2 linked regions of the Canis lupus familiaris genome follow. The protein of the gene in region 1 purifies or fractionates together with the protein of each later gene. This does not show direct contact. Links are inferred from orthologs where the notes say so. Each region holds a gene or a part of one and is shown on either strand. Other genes may lie near its edges. The genes, in order: RAB11A and EVI5.

Region 1 (4,340 bases):
ATTTGCAACTCTAATTCCACTATGTAACCCTAATTCCCTTTGGCCACATAATTTAACATATTCACAGTTACCAGGGATTGGGAAGTGGACAACTTCAGGAAACCATTATCCTGCTCAGCACAGGCACTCTTGCCCAAAAATCTAAATTGAAGGTTTGTATATAGGTGGTAGGGGGTATGGCAGCAAGTGGGAAAAACATTTTGTGATAATACACAACTCTTTTCTTTCTTTCTTTTCTTTCTTTCTTCCTTTCCTTTCCTTTCCTTTCCTTTCCTTTCCTTTCCTTTCCTTTCCTTTCCTTTCCTTTCCTTTCCTTTCCTTTCCTTTCCTTTCCTTTCCTTTCCTTTCCTTTCCTTTCCTTTCCTTTCCTTTCCACTCTTTTCAAATACAGGGAGGCTCTGCTGTGAGATCTTTGGCAAGTCACTTGAGTCTTAAGACTCCACATTTTTCGCTAAAATGAAAATTGCCACTGTTTGCTGTTCGTTACGTGAAATTATTATGGAGACGGGTTTAGCTTAGAGCATGACAAATTTGGGCAAAAAAGGGTTTAGCTTAAAGCATGACAAATAGGGCTCAAAAAGTTCTTGATGAATCTTGATGAGGAGGGTGGGCGAAGTTCTCTGAATGACATCTGGAGATAGTTTGAGAAATTTCCAGAGAAAAAAAAGAGTGAAAAGCGCCTGCCCTTGAATGAAGTTAGAGGTTGAAAATTGTAGCATAAAGGAATCAAGTTACATCGAAGCTGTTGAAGCTAGCTGGCTTCGACAAAGGCAAAGACCCAGATTTAAAAAAAAAAAAAGAAAAGAAAAGAAAAAAAAAGGCGAAGCGAAGAGGCTCCTTAGGAGACACCCAGGTGACAGTGGTTACAGATCCAAACGGCCTTTGTGGGCAAAGATTATCCTTTGAGAAATTCTGTCCCTGCTTCGTTCAAGGCCATACATATCGTAGTTGTATCACAATCACTTGGCGAATAAATAAATGAATTGAAGTATGGTCAGGAAAGGAAAAGCAGACCGCCGCAGGTTCCACCGAGATTTGAACTCGGATCGCTGGATTCAGAGTCCAGAGTGCTAACCATTACACCATGGAACCGCCACAAGCGCACGGGCGCCCTCTGCTCTCTAATTCTTAGAGACCCCGCCCCCCAACCACAGCCTCCCAACGCGCAGGCGCGGCTGACGGGCTTCCCAGCACCCCGCTTCCCCGCACGCCGGCGCGAGGATTGAGAGGGTGGCAAGCGGCGGCTCAGAGCTGGGACTCCAGAGCTGCATTCCCCACCTAAGCCTTTGGAGGGGGGAGGAGAATTGGGGGGAAGGGGGCAGAATTTGAAGACGGACACGACTCGGCCGCGCACCGCCCCTCCCGGGCTCGGGGGCGGAGCGTCGCCTCCCGGAAGTGCTTCCCCCGAGGGGCTGGGGCCGGCCGGAAGTGACGTAGCGGCAGGGAGGGGTTCTTTCCCCGGTCCGGCAGCTGAGGCTCGGCGCTCGGGTTACCCCTGCAGCGACGCCCCCTGGTCCCACCGGTACCGCTGCTGCTCCCGCCCCTTCGCTCCCCGGCCGCGCAATGGGCACCCGCGACGACGAGTACGACTATCTCTTCAAAGGTGAGGCCGTGGGCTGCCCCACTTTCCTCAGCGGGTCGGGGTCCGGGGGCCCCGGGGCACTCCCTTGGGGACCCGCGCGGGCCGGCGGTGCCCCGGAGCCGGCCTCCCTCCGCCCTTCCCGGCCGTGCGGTGCGCGCCGCGCTCTCCCCAGGTCGGGGCGCCCTCCGCGCACGCCGGGCTCGCAGCGACCCCCCTAGGCCCTCGCCTGCCTCCGCGCCCCCCACCCCGTGTCCTTCCACGGCGGGCCGCCGCCTCCAGCTCGCCTGCGCTTCCCGGGTCCGGTGCCCCTGGCGAGGGCCGCCCCTCCCACCCTGTCTTTTCGGGTTGGCGCCCCTCCCCCTCGGCGCCCCTGCCTGAGCCCCTGTGACCGGGCCTGCCCTCGCTCACCTTCCCGTAGGCGCACACTCCCACCACAGGCCCCCCACCTCTGCGCCCTGCTCCCCCCGGACCGGCGCCGCTCGGGCCCGCGCCAGGCCCCGGTCGGAATCCGAGCGGGCCGGGGGGTCCCCACCCCTCCCGCCCCCATAGCCCCCTTGGTCGGTTATAGCCTCGCACCGCCCCCCCCCCCGCACCCCCCGGGGCTGCTCGCTCTCTCCCTCCCTTTCCTCCCCCAAATAATCGGGACCTCTCCCGCGTCCCCCGTGCGACCCCGAGGGTGGGGGGCAGGGCAGGAGGGATTGCCCGTCACCCACGCGCGCACTTGTCGCAGTGACCCGACACACTGTTGGGACTTCCCATCTGGGCTTTTTTTTTTTTTTTTTTGTCTTTTTTCTTTTCCCTCCTCCTCTCCCTACCCAGCGGCAGCCAGCCCGGGATAACTCCAGACTGCGAGCGAGAAGGGGTTGCGGATGGGTGGTGGCTGTTATCCTTGCCAGACCTGAAGGCCCAGTTCCTGAGCAGGAAAGGTTGTGCGCTGCACAAATACTCGCCTGCTTTATCACTGTGGACGGGTTGCTTCCTGCTGCAACGCCGGGAGGATCCCGATCTTTTGGTGTTTTTAGAACAGGAAGGGAAAGAGTCCCACTTTTTAGCCACATAACCTTTCCCCGAAAGGTGGGGGGGGGGGCTAGGGGTACAGTTGTGTGCTCTTTGGTGGAATTTAATATGTATGGCGAGATCGGGAAACCTGTTAGTGCCCTTGGACAGAACATACCGGAGGGTGGGGAATGGATAGAAAGAATTGCTTATTGGTTACTCGGGAAAGAATCCCGGTAGTTGGTATCAACACAAATAAAGGGTACAGTGTTTAACCAGGAAGAGTACGGTAAATGCTCTTTTTTGTTTTGTTTTGTTTGTTTTGTTCGGTGATTGCGCTCTCGCTCAGATGCTCTTTCACTGCTCCTGAATTAGGGCAGCCATCAGTATAGTATGCTGAACAAAGATCATTACCAGAGAGGAAGAAGCCATTGCTATTAAGGCTTTACAGTGGAGGGTGGAGTTTTTTTTAAAAAGAGTGTTAAGCATGGTGATGGTTTCTGACCTTGCCATTGGGTGCTAAGAATGATTGACTGAAGGAAGCAGGAAACACTGCTTTACCAATACTTTGCAAATCTTACCACCACCTAACTCCTCTGGGCTACAATATTCTGTAAATATAGGGTGAGTACAGGGTTCATCCTTGCTCCCCCATAGTGAGTGGAAAGTCGTCTGCAGAGAAGAGCTTACTTAGTGCATTTTATAAATACAAAAAGGAAGCATGGGTTCTTTAGCATACTCTTTGCTGAGGGCATCTGAGGTCATGTGAAATTACTTAGGTGAGGCCCTAGAGACTGGTGTTTAGTCCTTAAAAGATTTCTTAAAATAAGGTACAAGGCAGTAAGCAGCTAGGTATCTTTGAAGTGATTTAGAACAAGATGGACTAGCAACTCACAAGTCTTTCTCCTGTTTGATGTGGAGCTTGACTGTTGTTTATAGAAATCATTCCCCACACCCCCACTAAGAATATTAGCTGTCCTGGATTGGTTTAAGGGATTTTAACTTAACTTTGGGATTAGACCATCCTAATAGTGATTGAGGGCAGAGAGCTTTGGAATCACGCAGGCTTGGATTCAGATTCTGACTCAGGTCTTAAACTTGCTTTGTGACCTTTGAGCCTCAGTTCCCTCATCTCTAAAAAGGAAATAATACCTATCTCTCAGAATTAAATGAGACTGGTTTTGAGGATTCAGTAAGTGATAATAATGTGAAGAAAGTTCTGTGGTTCTTGTCAGCTTTTTGAACCTTAAATCTTCACAAGAGCATTCAAGTATTATGAGAGAAATTTAAAAGTAGGAACTTTTAAAGTATTTTATGTTTCCATGGGTTATGTTTTCATTTTGTTGTACATTTTGCTTCTTAAGATTGGGTCTTAAAAAGATTTTGCTGAGAAGAATTTCCACTTTTTTAAAGCTCTTACAGGATATGAGTCACTTTTTTTTTTTTTTTTTTACTTTAGTGCTGATTAGTTAGCCAATTTTTTATTTATAGAGTTATATCTTAAAGCAAAGCAACAATAATCCATTTTAAACTAGTTTCATTCTTCAGAGGTTTATTCACTGAGATGAGGTAGGCCCTTCTACTTGTAAGATTGCTTACCTAGCACACCTTCACACTTTGAGGGAATTGGAAGTTAGTTTGTAACTCTAACCAGTTGAAAATGAAGGTATATTTTGATTCGTACAGGATAGAGTAGTCCAAATGGGAATGTAATGTGGGGAGAGAGCAGGACAATTATTCTGTGTTAGGCATTTGTTCTTGA
Region 2 (3,813 bases), on another chromosome or scaffold:
AGCCTTTTTTTTTTTTTTTTTTGCCCCCAGTCTTTAGAAATATTAAAAATGGCAAGTTTCTAAAAAATACGGTCAACTTCTGTGTCTTTCCAAGAAAATACACAGGCACAAATAAACACTATTAGAAATGAAAAAAGAGACAAATATTGATCCAGTAGAAAGAAAGGATATTTCTTTAAAAACTACTCTGAACAACTCTAAGTGATAAATTTGAAAATTTAGATGAAATGGAAGGGAAACATTAACTTACCAAACCAGACTCAAGACAAAAAAACAGAAAACCTGAAAAGACTTGTAACTTTTCAGTAAGTAGGATTGATAGTTACTATTCACACAAAACAAAACAAAAAGATAACACTGTTTAAAGGAATGGATTCCAGTAAATACTGAAGTGACAAGTAATTCAAATCTTAGATAGTATTTTATAAACTATAACAAAAAAAGATAAAATACAATCCAATTAATTCCATGAGCTTTTTATAACCTTTCTATTGAAACTAGTAAAAGCCTCCCCCAAAAGAAAAATTGTACATTTTAACTTAGGTACAAAAAAATCCAAAATATTAAAAACCTGAATCCAGCCATGTGAATGCGTTGTGTACATCTCTGTACCTGTATATTGACAACTGTACCTCAATATAACTAGTTTGCTTTGCAGTCCTATGTATTTTACTTTATGCATTAAAAAACCATTATTTTTGAGAAAGAGTCCAGAGGCTCCAGACTGCCAAAGAGGTTTATGGTATTAAAAAAAAAAAAAAAAAAAAACTCTGTCCTGAAGAAACTCTTAGAGCTATCCACTAGGAAATATGTGCAAGAATGTTCAGAACAGCACTATCTGTAATAGCAAAAACTGGCACACAGAAAGAAGAGTGTGGTTCAATAAACTAAGATGTACTTCCTCGGCATTTTCTAAAAGGCACTAAAATTTTCTAAAATTAAGGAATTGAAACTACATGTATCAACAAGGACAAATCTCTTAATCTGGATGCTCTGTATGGACCATCACTAGTTCGAGCACTGGCATTTAGGAAAAAGTGCCTTATGCCATTCCTCTTCCAGCAAAATCCATTCAAAATCACTCTTAGGTACAATTCAAAGTACAAATTGTTCAAGCTTTTCCCTAAACTTTCTAGTTGGAATTTATTTTCCCCTCCTATTTTCCATAGCAATTTCTATTGAACTCTTTATTTTTTTTTTAATTTTTTTAATTTTTATTTATTTATGATAGTCACAGAGAGAGAGAGAGAGAGAGGCAGAGGGAGAAGCAGGCTCCATGCACCGGGAGCCCGACGTGGGATTCGATCCCGGGTCTCCAGGATCGCGCCCTGGGCCAAAGGCAGGCGCCAAACCGCTGCGCCACCCAGGGATCCCTCTATTGAACTCTTTAATTACCAAATTTCAAAATTACACATTTTCCAATTTTATTGAGATATAATTGATATATATAGTGCTGTGTAAGTCTAAGGTATACAGAATAATGACTTGATTTACATATAGTGTGAAATGATTATTTAACAACCATCATGTAATATAGTGAATTATAATAAATGTATTTTGTGCATGCCTGATTCCCATGTGCTAAGTTTTCTAATGGCTGGACGGTGGTTTGTATTCAAAAGTTCTCAAAACGATGTTTGTGAATTTGATTCGTTCACCACTTTGAAATAAAACCTAGGGGTGCCTGGGTGGCTCCGTCATTTAAGCGTTTGCCTTCTGCTCAGGTCATGACCCCCGGGTCCTGGGATTGAGCCTGCCTTGGGCTCCCTGCTTGGTGGGAGGCCTGCTTCTCCCCTTTCCCTCTCCCCCTGCTTGTGTGCTCTCATGATCTCTCTCTCAAATTAGATAAAGTCTTTAAAAAAAAAAAAGAACGATAAAAACCCTGAATATAGGCTTATAGGCTGTATTGCATCTTTAATGTGTGTACAAGGAGATAAAAATCTTTTATGAAATAAAACTTCCCAATACAAAAGCTAGATTTCTTTATTTTTTTTTTTTTTCAGATTTTATTCATTTATTCATGAGAGACACAGAGAGGCAGAGACCCAGGCAGAGGGAGAAGCAGGCGCCATGCAGGAAGCCCAATGTGGGAATCAACCCCAGGACCCCAGGATCATGCCATAAGCCAAAGGCACACAGATGCTCAACCACTGAGCCATCCAGGTGTCCCAGAAGCTAGATTTCTACTTTTCAAAATTTTACTGTTATTTTTAATTATAATGAAAAATACAAGAAAATAACTTTGAACAGTGTAAAACAAGGTATATTGTTTAACCTAAAGGATTTACAGATTCGTGTGACCATATTCAAGTTCAGACAATTTTACCTATAGGTATACAGAATGATACGTGAGTTAACTATGCCCCCTAGTGACTAAGTACTTAGAAAACCAACTAACATTACAGAGAATACAGAAAGAATATGGTCCACACAAATGTACCACATAAAAATTAAATATACTTTATAACGCAAGTGAGTTCCATTAAAAGAATTTTGCAGATCTTAAATCAAGTATATTTAAGATAGAATTTATTACAGAAAGGGGAGACTTGAGAAAAAAGAAGTATAAATTTGGAATTAACTGCTCAGAGTCACCACATTACACATACGGAAGCATCATTCACATTATATTCTACGCCAATTATTCTCAACCAGGAGCAATTATGTCCCCTAAGGACATTTGGCAATGTGTGGAGATGCTTTTGGTCATCACAACCTGGGGTGGGGAGTACAGTGAAATTGGATCTAGTGGGTAGAGGACAGCGATACTGGTAAACACCCTACAATGCATAGGCCAGTCCCCCAAATAAAGAATTACCTGGTTCAAAATCTTAAGAATCAAGGTTGAGAAATTTTGCTCTACATGAATATTTCCTCTCAACTTGTGCAATAAGGCAACAAGTTAAATACAGTTTTATGACGTGCTTAAACTTTGCCGATTGGGTCAAAGAAAACATTAAAATCTCTGATATCAAAGACTACAATTTTTAGCGGTTTTCATTTGGGCTAGGAAATTATAGTCTAGACAGTTTCATATATCCATCTTTTATATCTATTCTACACCTATTCTAGAGATGATATAACCTGTGCATAGATTTTGACCTGCTCATGATGTTTTTTTTTAAGGGGGGGGGGGGGGAGAATCTTAAGAAGGCTCCACACCTGTACTCCTAAGGTCATAACCTGAGCCAAAATCAAGAGTCCAAAGTTTAACCAATGGAGCTACTCAGGTGTCCCATGCTAATGGCCATTTTTTAAAGGTACTGGGCTTTCCCATCATACCTGTGTTTCCATTTCCATCATCCTTTGTTTAATTTCTCTTATTTCTGCCTGAGTTTCAGCTTCTCTAAGTCGAATGGTCATCAGTTCATCCTGTAACTCATTTACAGCATTTTTCTTAGGTGGGTCTTTCCATCTCCCAGTAGTACGAGCTAAGTGGCGCTAAAAGACAGAAAAAATTATATTGCAACAAATATTCCCAGTATCAAAATAAGAGCTAACTTTCCTGGAACTTATTTCATGTCCAGTACTATATTTAGCACTATATATACATTATTTTATTTAATCCCCAGAAAACTTTAATAGTTATGTACTATTATCTTCATTATACAGGTCAGAAAATGGAAATGATGATTAAGTAACTTCAGAAAGGTCAATATAGCCAGTAAGTGGCAGACCTGAAATACAAGCTCAGATATAGTTCAAATCTGTTTATACTGTGGATCATTGTATAGAACACAATTTTCACCCTAAATTTATTATGACAGATTTCCAAATTTTTAATGAAATCCCAAGAAAAGAAAAAACGGGGCC

The links.
Region 2: the proteins of RAB11A (region 1) and EVI5 purify together in Homo sapiens (co-immunoprecipitation; 3 studies listed by BioGRID and IntAct, with this or other methods). This does not show direct contact. The link is inferred for Canis lupus familiaris from reciprocal best matches to the Homo sapiens genes RAB11A and EVI5.

What each region holds. Positions count from the first base shown.
Region 1 is NC_049251.1:30,623,306-30,627,645, forward strand, and holds the start of RAB11A (ras-related protein Rab-11A), read left to right. Parts: upstream 1-1,449; 5' UTR 1,450-1,563; coding exon 1,564-1,603; intron 1,604-4,340. UniProt on the Homo sapiens protein: The small GTPases Rab are key regulators of intracellular membrane trafficking, from the formation of transport vesicles to their fusion with membranes.
Region 2 is NC_049227.1:56,869,743-56,873,555, reverse strand, and holds part of EVI5 (ecotropic viral integration site 5 protein homolog), read right to left. Parts: intron 3,442-3,813; coding exon 3,283-3,441; intron 1-3,282. UniProt on the Homo sapiens protein: Functions as a regulator of cell cycle progression by stabilizing the FBXO5 protein and promoting cyclin-A accumulation during interphase. May play a role in cytokinesis.